Caenorhabditis elegans: one gene and its partners. The protein of the gene in region 2 purifies or fractionates together with the protein of the main gene of each other region. This does not show direct contact. Each region holds a gene or a part of one and is shown on either strand. Other genes may lie near its edges.

The links. Proteins that work in one complex are often made in the same cells at the same time.
Region 1: the proteins of unc-54 (region 2) and mlc-3 purify together in Caenorhabditis elegans (affinity purification with mass spectrometry; 2 studies listed by BioGRID, with this or other methods). This does not show direct contact.
Region 3: the proteins of unc-54 (region 2) and mlc-1 purify together in Caenorhabditis elegans (affinity purification with mass spectrometry; 2 studies listed by BioGRID, with this or other methods). This does not show direct contact.

What each region holds. Positions count from the first base shown.
Region 1 is NC_003281.10:5,563,060-5,567,559, forward strand, and holds mlc-3 (Myosin, essential light chain), read left to right. Parts: upstream 1-1,965; 5' UTR 1,966-2,072; coding exon 2,073-2,091; intron 2,092-2,261; coding exon 2,262-2,473; coding exon of another isoform or gene 2,474-2,515; exon of another isoform or gene 2,516-2,757; intron 2,758-3,614; coding exon 3,615-3,798; intron 3,799-3,852; coding exon 3,853-3,899; 3' UTR 3,900-3,948; downstream 3,949-4,500. Other genes in the region: rpc-2 (DNA-directed RNA polymerase subunit beta), read left to right, coding at 1,447-1,620.
Region 2 is NC_003279.8:14,860,482-14,865,040, forward strand, and holds the start of unc-54 (Myosin-4), read right to left. Parts: upstream 3,002-4,559; 5' UTR 2,970-3,001; coding exon 2,907-2,969; intron 2,345-2,906; coding exon 2,216-2,344; intron 2,168-2,215; coding exon 2,027-2,167; intron 1,546-2,026; coding exon 1,089-1,545; intron 1,009-1,088; coding exon 224-1,008; intron 172-223; coding exon 1-171. UniProt on the Caenorhabditis elegans protein: Required for muscle contraction.
Region 3 is NC_003284.9:17,457,356-17,461,330, reverse strand, and holds mlc-1 (Myosin regulatory light chain 1), read right to left. Parts: upstream 2,122-3,975; 5' UTR 2,102-2,121; coding exon 2,099-2,101; intron 1,840-2,098; coding exon 1,705-1,839; intron 1,657-1,704; coding exon 1,524-1,656; intron 1,470-1,523; coding exon 1,321-1,469; intron 1,268-1,320; coding exon 1,175-1,267; 3' UTR 553-1,174; downstream 1-552. Other genes in the region: slc-17.1 (Sialin), read left to right, coding at 1-218, 265-405.

The DNA.
Region 1 (4,500 bases), on a different chromosome or scaffold from region 2:
GCGTGGGTTGACTTTGCGGGTCGACTTTTCTTGGAAACTGGGTTGACGTTTTTTGGAAAGGTTCTTGAAAATTTTTGATTTACCGCAGAGAAAATTATGGATTTTGTTTGATCATGAGAGAATACATTTCCCGACTTTTATCTGAAAATATCGAAAAAAAAGGTCGGAAACCGATTATTAATTTTTTTTTGAACTCCCACTTTTTTATAAGAACAGAGAAATCGATTTTAAAAAAAGCATTTTCCCTAAAAACTTTTTAAAAAAAGCAAAACTTTCTATTTTAATGGCTCTGAATCTCTGTTGCTCGGAAGTTAAAAAAAATCAAATTTTCGGTGCTATTCGAGCAAGATCCATTCCCAAATAAAAAAAATCTCTCACAATTCAGCGATATTTCGGAGTTTTTGAGAACATTTTTTACTAAAACCGCCTTTTCTTAGTACAGTCGTACCGAAAATAATATTTTCTGCACCTGTCCCAGGTGGCAAACAAGAATCAGAGATCTAAAGACTTGGAAGTGAACCTCACATTAAGATCCCTCCAGGAAACCTTCGGAGCTCTCGTCTTGATTCGCTTCTTCCTTCCTACTTTTCGTTTTTTTTTGCCCACAAAATAGTCATCGAAGAAGAAGAAGAAAAGATGAGATTTTTGCCCCGATGCGAGATGCCTGGTGAATAGTGTGATCTTCGTGGAGAGATGTCTCGCTGATCTCTCCTTGATTGCCATTTCACTATATCTTCCACCCCGAAGTCTGTGGACTCCACTGATCTCCGCATCTCTCGTCATTGAGTAAAAGCATTGGCAGAAGAGAGAACAGAAGAAGGAGGAATAAGAAGGAAGAGATATCTCCACAGTGGGTGCCTGTGCTTTTTCTTCCCGTCGGCTGTGCTCCTAGGAGTGGAATGCCGAGAAAATGTGCGATTGAAGTGGCACGCGGGGAGGATAGAGAAAGAAAATAAAGATATTGAAAGGGAGAATAGAGAAACATACGTTTACAACGAATTAATCGAGTTCGGCAGCCAACACGGGAAAAATGAACTTGTGAAGATGTGTTAAAACACAAAGATCTTATTAATTATTGAAGAGGGAGGAAATAAAATAAATTAACATTTCGAGCATTGGGGTACTGTAGACCTATTCCGTAAACAGAGAAACAAAATGGTTTAGCAGAATTCGCGGACTGAGGCGAGAGGCAGGCGGAGGTTGCCTTAAGGTCAGGCAGGCAAGCGTTTTAATGCAAAAGTAATGGATACTTGTTGAGCCTTATAATAATGTGTCGATATTAAAAAACACAAGTATGGATTTTTAACATAAAAAAGTTAAAAGACGCATGCTTAAATATTTTATAGGATAATTTGGTACTCCTTAAAACTCAGTTTGTATAAAAAAACGATTCGATGAGAGTATAATAGATTTCCAATGTAACTTAATAAATTTCTTGTTTTCCAGGTCGACGTGTGCACTGGATGCGGAGTAATCGGCTCGAAGGGTTGGTGCCAAAAGTGTCGTTCGAGCAAGTCAATGGCGAACATTAAGATTCCGTATGCGTGTAAGCTGCTCTTCCAGGAACTTCAATCCATGAACATTGTCCCGAGGCTGGACTTGGCCAGATACACCGAATAACCTTGTTTTGTAATTGTTGTTGTTGTTGTTATGCTTCTTCTTTCCCCTTCCCAAATCATTTTTTAATCTATTTTTTACTTGTTCCCCGAAATTTGAACATTTTTTGTTGTTTTTTTTGTCATACATTCATTCTTAAACTTATCATGAAAATTTTCTAGAAAATACTTGTTGAAACAGTACGCCGCGCTTTCTCGCTCTCACATCCCACATCTCGCCACTCTATCTCTTGAGCATTACATCCCTCTCTCTATCTCTCGGGCTCCCGAGGGGTGAAATAGTGTACTCGCGCGGGAGTGCGGGAGCTCAATATCCGCCCCAATCCGCCCCCATCCTCTACGAAGAGTCACACACAGTTTACACTTGGGTTGCCACTGCTCTGTCGCCTTCACTCAGTTTCCACACTCAGTCCCCCCTGCTCTGCCGCCGCTGCAACACTCACACATCATCACATAATGGCTCCACCATCCCAAGGTGAGTAATTTTTTAAGCAATGTCCCCAGCTCTTAGGGATACCTTATAAGGTTTTAGGACTTCTAAAACATTTTATTTTTAGTTTTTTTTTAATGTTTCAAAAATATATCCAATTCCCCAAATATATCCCTACAATCCCAAACATTTTTTCAAACTTGAAATCGTTCTAGACGTGCTCAAGGAGATCTTCAACCTCTACGATGAGGAGCTTGACGGCAAGATCGACGGAACCCAAGTCGGAGATGTCGCCCGCGCCGCCGGACTTAAGCCAACTCAGGCTATGGTGACAAAGGCCGCCGGACAGGAGTTCAAGCGTAAGGGAGAGAAGAGACTTACATTCGAGGAGTGGCTCCCGATGTACGAGCAACTCGCCAAGGAGAAGGTACGGTATTTTAAACATCTTGCCTGTGCCTTTAACCTTTAGCTGAGAGTTTTTTGAGATTTAGGGATCTAGGGGCCTCGCGCCAAACCTTTAACTCCCGCACCGAGTGATAATCAAACAAAGAAGATGAAGCTTGAGATTTGTTTTATTTCAAGGTCTAAGTAAATATTGGATCTCAGAGGTTAACCCCATACAGTACCCCTAGCCGAAAACTTTTAAATCACAACTAAGGGTCTGAAAAATCTGAACATCCTCTTCCACCGGCACATGCCAGCCGATCCCTAGAACTTTAGAGAGATAGGCGGCGGCGGCTCCCGTGAAGCATGTGTGGGAGAGGAGCACATAGGACTCTCGAGAATCTCTCTTGGCACACACAAACACACACATAGGCACAGTGTAACAATAGAGAGCATCATCATTCTGCGTCTACTGGGTCCTTGTTGTAGATATTTGTATGGATAGGAAGTAGTAAGGAATAGGCAAGGGATCTTGAGTAAGGATCCCCATATACGGGTAAAAGAATGGAGTGAGTATATATGAAGCTTCTAGGAGCTATTGAGTTTTGGAAAGAGCTGCCAGCTCAGACTATTTAGTGGAGGTTTAAGGTAAAAAATCCTGTAGATCTTTGATTGAATTCAACTAGGGCATTCTCTGGACCCACAACCGTCAGTATTTTGAAAGCTTTAAGGCAACCAGTTTCTTAGAAAAGATTCAAAACAGCACATGGAGATCTTGAAGAGCCAATAGAAACCTACGAACTGAGCTCAGAAGACTGGACAACTCATAAAGTTTGAAATAGCAAGTTTGGCCAGATATTTTGGGAAACACATTTCGCTTTCGTTATTAAATAGTCTGCGAAGTTTACCTGAGCACATATCTACTCAAATTTGACAATCTGAAAGTCAGTGTCTAACGAATTTTGGATAGAATCCTAAGCGAAAATCAGAGAGTTCTCTGGAGCTTCGGGATGGAATTAGCTGATGTTCGAGGTTACTGTCACCTGAATAGGGAATGATTTATGTTTACTGGAGTTAGATGCCTACCTTAGGGTCCGCATGTAGAGCAGATCATCATTCATTTAACATTGAGATTATAAACTGAGAAAATTGTTCTTTCCAATATAAATTTCCAATTTCTTCAGGAGCAAGGAACCTACGCTGACTTCTACGAGGGACTCAAGGTGTTCGACAAGGAGGAGACTGGAAAGATCTTGGCCGCTGAGCTCAGACACATCCTCTTGGCTCTCGGTGAGAGACTTTCCGCCGATGAGGCCGATGAGCTCCTCAAGGGAGTCGAAGACGGAGAAGGCATGGTCAAGTACGAGGGTAAGCCGATTTTTTTTCTTCTCGGAAATTTTTTTTAATTGAAATTTATTTCAGATTTCATCAAGAAGGTTTTGGCCGGACCATTCCCAGACCAGGACTAAATTTTTGGATCTGAATCTGTGCTACACCCATTATAATGTTTAAATTTTGAAAAAAAAAACACCATCTTCTCTTACCCAAATTTTTTGCTCCCCTTTCCCTTCTCTGCCTTCTTTCTCCCCGTTCCAAATAACGATGTTTTACTTTTTTGTCTATAAACCCATCGTCTAGTCGCTCGTTTTCTTCTACGCTATACACGTAAGAGATTCCACTCGCGTGCGCGCATTCCGTTTTCTGATCCAGAAAACGTTTTGCACTTTAAAAATCAGCGCGCGGTTTTCTCTTCTTTTTCTCCAACACATTCAAGCCTGTTTCTATGATCAAGAAATTTTCTTTCTTTCTTCATTTTACACTTTTTTATTCAGAAATTCATTCGTTTCTTATATTCGTTCTCCTTTTTGGATTATAATAAAAAACCTTTTGAATAATTATGAAATGGAAATTTTGGTATAGTACATGTAGTAAGTTGAAAGGCTGCTAGAAATATCAGCTTTTGAGTCGATGACCTGATAAAAACAAACTGCCAGTTTGATTTTTATCAATTGATTTATTTTCCGTCTACTGTGCAAGAACGGTAGCTTCCAAAAAATAAGAAATTGCCAA
Region 2 (4,559 bases):
GTAGTGCCGCATGGCGAAGTGAGCTTCTCCTTGCTTTCCCTTTGGTGGCTTTGGCTTCTCGAAGTTTGGATGCTTGCCAAGATGTTGATCGACAAGCTTGGAAGCGAGGGTCAAATCAGTAGCCTTTGGTACGATACACTCTTCATCAAGCATGGAGATAATACCGAGTGGCTGAAAAATAAGAATTGATCAAAATACATTTAAAATTTCAATTCAATCTTACCTTCTCAATAAGTTCGATACACGCTTGCAAATCAAGTCCGAAATCGATGAAGACCCATTGAATACCCTCACGGGCGTATTCTTCCTGTTCAAGGACGAACATGTGATGGTTGAAGAATTGTTGGAGCTTCTCGTTTACGAAGTTAATCCACAACTGCTCGAAGGAGTTGAAGTCGAAGATTTCGAAACCGGCGATATCGAGCACACCGATGAAATAATCACGATCAATACCCTTTTGATCCAGAGTGAGGTTACACTTCTTGACAAGCCAGTTGAACACACGGGAGTAGAGACCCTTGGCCATGGCTCCGACAGCCCAATTGACTTGTTCGCAGTTCTGTCCCTTGGATACCCATTCGGTTCCGACCTTGACACGTGGCTTGGTCAAAGCCTTGAGGAACTCCTCGCATCCGATTCCGTACATGTTGGATGCCTTCTCGGCCTCATCGGTACCATCTGGCTCAGCTTGCTCTTCACGTGGGCGTTGCTTGAACTTCATGTTACCCATGTGCATGTGAGCGGACATGAGGCGGTAGCAATCCTGCTTCTCGACGGCAGAGAAGTTGAGGATGTCGAAAGCTTCATCAGTAAGTTGGAACTCTTCGACGTCATCGATTCCGTCAATGATCAACTCGGCCTGGGCGACGAACCAGTAATCCTTGATTGGCAAGTCAAGAAGAAGTTCCTTCTTGAGCTCTGGACGGAAGTCAGAGTAGATTTGGTAGAAGATGTGGTAGCAACGCTCTCCTGGAGCTTGACGGATGACACGAGATTTCTCGAGCAAGTCTGCAAAATTTATAGTTTAAAACAATAGTTGCATAATTTTTATTGAGCTATGCTAGAATATAAATCAAAAAGTAACTCACAATGCTCGATATCGCAAGATGCGAGGCGTCCGTGCTTGTTGAAGTGGATACGGATGAACTTTCCGAAACGGGATGAGTTGTTGTTACGGACAGTCTTGGCGTTACCGAAGGCTTCAAGTACTGGATTGGTCTGGACGATTTGGTCCTCAAGGGTGACCTTCTTCTTATTTGGATCAACTTCAGCTCCACCTTCCTGTTGGGAGGCACCGACAGCGGCGAAGTAGCAAATAACCTTCTTGGTGTTCTCAGTCTTTCCGGCTCCAGATTCTCCGGTAATGAGCATAGACTGGTTCTCGTGGTCTTGGAGCATGTTACGGTAGGCTTCGTCAGAGACAGCGAACAAATGTGGTGGCATTTCTGTCTTTCTCTTTCCCATGAACATACGGGCGCAAGAGTCGGTGTAGATTGGGAGACGCTTGTATGGGTTGATGACAACGCAGAAAAGTCCGGAGTAGGTCTGAAATAGGAAACATTCTAGTTTCGATTTTTAAATACTGCAGGATTCAATCCCTTTGTTTAATTTTATGTTCAGTTGCATTCCCTTTAAGTTCTTCGAAATATAGACCCCTGTTACTTCTAACTTGTGCAATGAATCAAGCAGATCTTCTTCATCTTCTTTTCTTCAAACGTTTTTTCTTAGAAAAATATATCCTCACAATACCTTCTCTCTTCTTTGCCATCCCCAATGGCAGTATCTGATGCAAGGGAGCCTGTGGGGCTCCCGTCATCCACAGTGTAATGTAAGATGGTTCAGAGATTCAGAAGAGAGGCAGAGATAGCCTCATCCCACTCAATTGATGAGAGAATGGGATAGAGAGAAACATTTGAAAACGAGAAGAAAAGAAGATAGAGGGAAGGAGTTTCGGGATTTTATGGGAATTTAGAAGAAGAATATGAATGATTCTCAATGCTTAACTTTAAGTTTCAATGAAACTTACGTAGATGAGCATAGCAGCGTAACGGGAACGCAAGTTATGGAGGACAGAGGCGTCGTTGAGGAAAGACAAGTTGGACATGTCTTCGGTCTTCTCGAACTTTGGTGGATTCATTTCTTGAACCAACTCCTTCTTGAGGGTGACCTGAATCACACTACATTGAAAACCGTAATCATTAGCTTAAAAACGAACCTCATTTCCGCGAGCGGTGACGATGGTGACCTGGTCTCCCTTGGTGGCGGTGATTTCTCCGGCAAGGTATCCCTCTTCTGGATCTGGGATCCAGACGTTCTTCTTGGAGTCATAAGGCTTAGATTGATCCTGAAATTACAATAATGGTACAAAAGAGATCAGAATTCAGAAATATATCACTTCTAAAGAATACCAACTTGTGTTGAAAAATGGTCTAAACCGCTTCACACTTTAGACCCATGAATGGAATGGAATCAAAAAGTAAAATCAAGGTTAAGCTTGTGGTGTAGTCAAAATAAATGTGCCGTCTCAAAATACAGTACTACTGCAGCACAATGTGTCACAAAATTCCAAGTGCAATGCAAAAATTTAAGAAAGGAAGATTTCAATGATTTCAAGGGAAAGATGATCTTGAAGCTAAATCTATGAAAAATTAGAAAACAGAAATAAACATTGATTACAAGGATTACAAGGCAAGCTCAAATCTTCTACCTGAATTTAAAAAATCTATAAGTGTAAAATGGCAGACTTTAACTCAGTTGTATGTTAAAAATCTAGAATTTCAAAAATAAATGCTCAGTTTTGTTAAAATTAGATACTTATGGAGTACTATACGATTTACTCTATAGAAATGAGCATAACAATAAAGACAAATGAAAGAAAAATAAATAAATAAAAAATAAATACTCACCTCCAAAACCTGCTCTCTGGTACGGCGGAGATATTGCCATCCTGGGTCCTTCTCGTGCTCCATGATTTCTCGCTTCTTTCAAATGGTTTCTCTACCTCAAAACTAATGTGGTGCTCCCTTAGTCGAGGTTGATGATGCGAGTGATGAGTGCCTGCTTCTTCCTCGGCAGGAGGATGTTGGCACCCGCAAGCCACGCCCCTCTTTGGGGATTCTACGAGGTGTAAAGCTGTGTGCGGCAGCGGCAGCGGCGGGAGAGACGGGAACCCGGCTTCCCGGGAATACACGAAGCGAGAGACGCCTACGCGTAGTGGAGGGTGCCAGAGAAGATAGTGGAAGTCTCAAGAATTCCATTGGAGCACGAAGAAAAAACCAGGGATAGAGATAGATCGGGAGTTGGTAAGATCGGGAAAAATGAATTCAGAGAGTACGGTCGGTCAACTTTTTTTATAGGAAAGTGCAGAACAGTGATAAAAGGAATAAGATAGAATGTTTACATACAACCAGTGAAAATAGAATACCAGTTTGATTAATGGTTCTTAAACAGATCTTCAGCCTCCTCTTGATAATCTTCCACGGTTCACCACTAGATCTTCAGATTTTAAGCAAATCAATACATTTACGACCTAGTTAACTTGCCTTTGCATTACTCTTTTTACAGAGACCAGTGAAAACCGAAAATACTCACTGCAGTATTCTAAGCGGCAAAGCTCTAATATCAACCCTAAAATTGTTGATCTGAAATTGTTTCAGTGCAGTTTTCCTTTAATTTTTTTTGCAAAAAAATCAAGAAAATTGTTATAACAATTCTTTCAAAAAAAAAATCAAAAAAATTTTTAGACCAATTCTCCAAAAAAATCACAATTCTTTAAAAACCTCCCGGAGTGTTTACCTACACTTCCTGAAAAACTTTCAAAGTTTGCAAAAAAGCATTTAGAGCAATTATGCAGGTCTCTAAAGTAGTGGTTAAATGAGACAATTTCAGATCGATATTTTAGGGGTTGAGAGAAAAGTATTGCTGCTTAAAATTTTGCAGTGACATACCTTTCGTGACATAATCTAAAACACTTCAGATGAAACATGTCTCATTTTGAAGTTTGAGGGTAAAATGTAAAAATTTCCTTGTTAGAAATGCATTACAAATAAAGTCTGCAAAATTGATACTAACCTACTTTGGAGTCGAAGTAAGTTTTAAGACTATTTTTATTGATACGTAGAGGAGAGGGGGGCAAAAATATTTAATATTTGATTACGGTACTGCGATTCAATGCTACAGTAATAATTTTGATCAGATGGATTCGAGGTATATCATTGTGGCGGACAATCGATTTGGAGGCACCTGTAATACTTATCAATTCTACTCATTCGAACTTCAAGTTGCACCAATCAATTTTTCGAGCCTTGGTAACTACTATGAAGTTGTCGCGTTTGCTTTAAAAGGTCTCCTGATAATAGTATCTGTCTAAAAATTTACGAAAAGGCTCATAAATCATTCTCATGATAGTATGTATGTAACTGGATAGTCTTTCCGTTTGCTTTATCTTCTTCAAACATTTTCTTCAGATTTTTGTGCTTCTCCAGCAAATCAGCTTCTCTCCAAATCCCACAATCTCATACTTCATCCTGACGAAAACAATTCGCGGATGCTGTAAGACA
Region 3 (3,975 bases), on a different chromosome or scaffold from region 2:
TTCTCTTCCTTGTTATGACCACCTCTAACTCGCTGCTTCTGGTCCTTTTCTTCTCAATTTCCATCGGACTAGGCGGAATTTGTTGGTGTGGATTTTCAGTAAATCATCTGGATTTGGCCCCACAGTATGCTGGACATTTGATGGCCACGTCGAACACATTTGCGACAATTCCTGGAATTTTCGGACCTCTTCTAGTTGGAGCAATTGTGCAAAATGGGGTAAGCTTACAAGCCAGAGAAACTAAAAAAATTTACCTGTTTTTAGACAATCGGTGAGTGGAACGTGATCATGTACATCATAATATCTGCTTATCTGCTCGGAGCTGCAATTTTTTGGAAGTTCGCCGACGCTACCCTACAACCATGGGCCGCAGAGCACACTTCCTTTGTCGGACAGCTGGAATAGATGGTCAACATATCTAACTTTCCCACATTTCCTTTCTATTAGAAGCATAATTGATCTTTCCCCACAGAGTTTTTCCTTATTTTTTTTCTAGCTTTCAGAATTTTGAGGCTGAACTCCTTCAAAGAACACAATGAAAGTCTGGATGTTGAATTGAGACATTGTTTATTTTACATATTGAAAGTACATCGTAGAGCTTTGACTAGTCCCGATATGGGAGAATGTATATGCACCACAAGTAACTGCTCAGAGAAAATCTAGAAGAAGTTTGCAAATGTTTTGGAATACCAAAGTAATGAAAGTGGGTGAACACAAAAAAAAAATGACAAAACATGTAATGAAATGACAATAGAATTTGCGAGCGAGAAAAAAGAAGGAAAAACCATTTGGAGTGATAGAAGTGTGTACGCGCAGTCAGACGGCGTGGTTAGGAAATTGGGGTTGCCAGATGGCTTCGAAATGACGTTATTCTTCCCACTGGTGGAAGAAGTTGGTCAAACCAACCGGCAACCACACATTTCCAGGTGATTATAATGATCTCGGCTATAAAACTAAGGGTAAAGAGCGGCGAAAATAGAAAAATGCGCGCGGAATGGGTTAGAGCGCCGTCTGAACGCTGCGCCACACGGAATGACAACAATGAGTCTTGAATACACGGCGATGTATCATAGGAGCACGTGGAAAGGTCTTCAAATGAGACACCGTAATGGATTCTAGAATAACGTTGACGCCACTCCCAAAGTGGTTGCAATTGCTTGTGGGCTGGAGATGTTCAGGCGCTGGCGAGCTCGTCTTGGGCTCCGGTGGTAATGAGGTGAGCGAAGGCCTTGTAGTCGACCTCTCCTCCCTCGATTGGTGGCTTTCCCTAAAAAATGAGGAGTTGGGAAGTTTCAAAAATTTCAGAAAGAATGAATTTACCTTGTACATAGCCTTGACCTCATCCTCGTCCAATGGCTCTCCTCTCTTGTTTTGAAGGATCTTGATAAGGTCGTCCTCCTTGATCTTTCCGCAGTCCTTCTTGTCGAACATGGCAAAGGCTCCAATAATGGTGGCCTCTGGGTCAGTTCCTGAAATTAAATAGATTCAAATCACCATTAACTTATCAAATTTAATTAGCCTACCTGTCAATCTCTCTCCGAAAAGGGTGAGGAAGACGGTGAAGTTGATTGGTCCGGAAGCCTCTTTAATCATGGCGTCGATCTGGCTGTCTGGGGCGATTTGTCCCATGGAAGCGTAGAGATCCTTGAGGTCAGACTAAAAATTGTTGATTAGAACCATTAAAAAAATAAGAAAAATTCTAACCTTGTCAATTATTCCGTCCTTGTTCTGATCCATGATTCCGAAAGCCTCCTTGAATTCCTGGATGGTCTTCTGGTCGAATTGGGCGGCCTCGGATCCCGAGCGCTTCTTTGAGGACTTCTTCTTGGCGGCCTTGGACTGGAAAATTGAGAACATATTGACAATTTTATAGTCGATTTAATTGCTTGATTTTTAAACAAAGCCTAAATCTAAATGTTACGTTCTTAATTTACCAGAAATTTTTTAAAGATGAAACTGATTATAGAACCTCTGATTCAAAATAAATAATTTTTTAAATACAATATAGACAGGTTAAATCAAAATATATATGAACGCACTCCTATTCCTATACAGAAACTCATGCTTTTCAAATAACTTATTAAAAAATCCAACTCACCATTTTGTGGACTGTACTGAGTAGTGAACTGAGACTAACTGAAGATTATCCGTCGCTTTTGTCTGCCTTTTACACTCGTTGGGCCCCGCGTCGAGGGGAGGGCTGTTTGAGCAAATCTCAACAACTTTACACAAGAGGCGCACCGCCCCCGTGGTGCTAACATCAGGCACCCGTCGGAGGTTTCCAAGAAGATGGGCAAAACTCTCGCCTTGCTTGCGTCGCGATGCCTCTTACCCGCCATCGAAAAAGTTGCTCGATCGGATAAATGAGGGGATGCAATAAGGGAAAGGGAATAGATCATCCGAGCTTTAAATCTGAGCAGGGCACAACATAATCAGAATTTGTTTTGAGTTGGAAAGGAAGGTTTAAATTCAACATTTCCAACAAACAGGATAATTGAAAACTTGAAAATCTGAAACTCTTTTGTTTTGGAACTTGATTATAAATTTTAATTTTCATAACATGACTAAATGGGACATACTGAATTTATCAGATGGTTCCAGTAATATCTGTTTATAATATTTCACTAACGATAATTTTTTTTGACATATATTTTTCTGGTATAAATTATAATTTTCCTACTAATTGTTTCAACTACTTGTGAAATCTATTTGTATAGTTTTTTTTCAAGTTTTGTTAAAATGAAATAATTAATCGGGCGTATTTTAAGATAGGATGAAACAGAGCAAATATTGATTTTCACACAATCTTCAAAGTTTTGACATACGCAGTGATTTTTGATTTTAGGATTTGCAGCTATTTTTGAAATCAATAATTTTGATGTCATTGAATAACAGACAAAAATTGTGTTTCGAACTATACTCTCATTGGAGACAATTCAGAAACGATTCAGAAAAAAAAACCTTCCATCAGAATTAGTGTGACAAGAGGTTCTTACTCATATCCTAAATTAACAAGGATAACTTTTTTGATTCCTCAACTTTCAAACTTTTTCATCTGATTTTCTATTGAGTGTTCTGTCTACCAGTGCTCTTATCTGAAAACAGCTTTTAAGATAATGCGTCAGCTGGCAGAAACGCTTTTAATTTTGCTTCCTGTTTGTTAACTTATTTTTGAAACGTTTTACTTCGAAAAGAGTTAATTTTTTGGTTTGTTTGTAAATTTGAAAAAATCATTTAATGTTTATTATGAGCGTATTACAAATGTTCGTAAAAGTTATTATTATTATCACTCCACAATTTCCGTTTGTAAAATGAATAATTGAATTTTTTTTTCCAATATACATCAAACAAAATTGTGAAAAAATTGCTTTAACGAAATTGAAGCATAAACAATAGTTCTAATTCCAATTACAACAATTTGTGTAAATCAAATGTTTCCTCTGAAAACTTCAAACAGTAAACCATTAATGTTTTGAAAAGTACGATGATGGTCTGGAAAACGCGCTTTGAAAATTTGTTACAACACGTTAGAATCACAAGTTCAGATTAGCTGTCGCCTCTAAAAATCAATTGTTGAACAATGTCTTCTTCAATTTTTTGATAATCAGCAAGCACAACTACTAGAAACAAAATATACAATTTTAAAGTTGGCAAAGAAACATTGGATACAATTTTCCAGTCGCTTGGCATTTTTGTTGAACATAATTTCAATTTTTCGAAAAATTTATGTTTTGTAATGTTTTATTTTGATTTCCATACTTATGAAGTAGTAAAGATTTCTACTGGGCTCATGAGATACAAAACAATCTGAACATTCAATTTTTTATCTTCGGAAAAGTTCTTGCTAGAAAAACAATAAAAACCACTTATAAACATTCCTTTCAATTGTTCTCTTTTTACGAACTTGTTAATTTGTCTTCAGCCATTAGAAACAATATTCGATGTTACATGTTTTCATTCAACATTCAAAGTTAT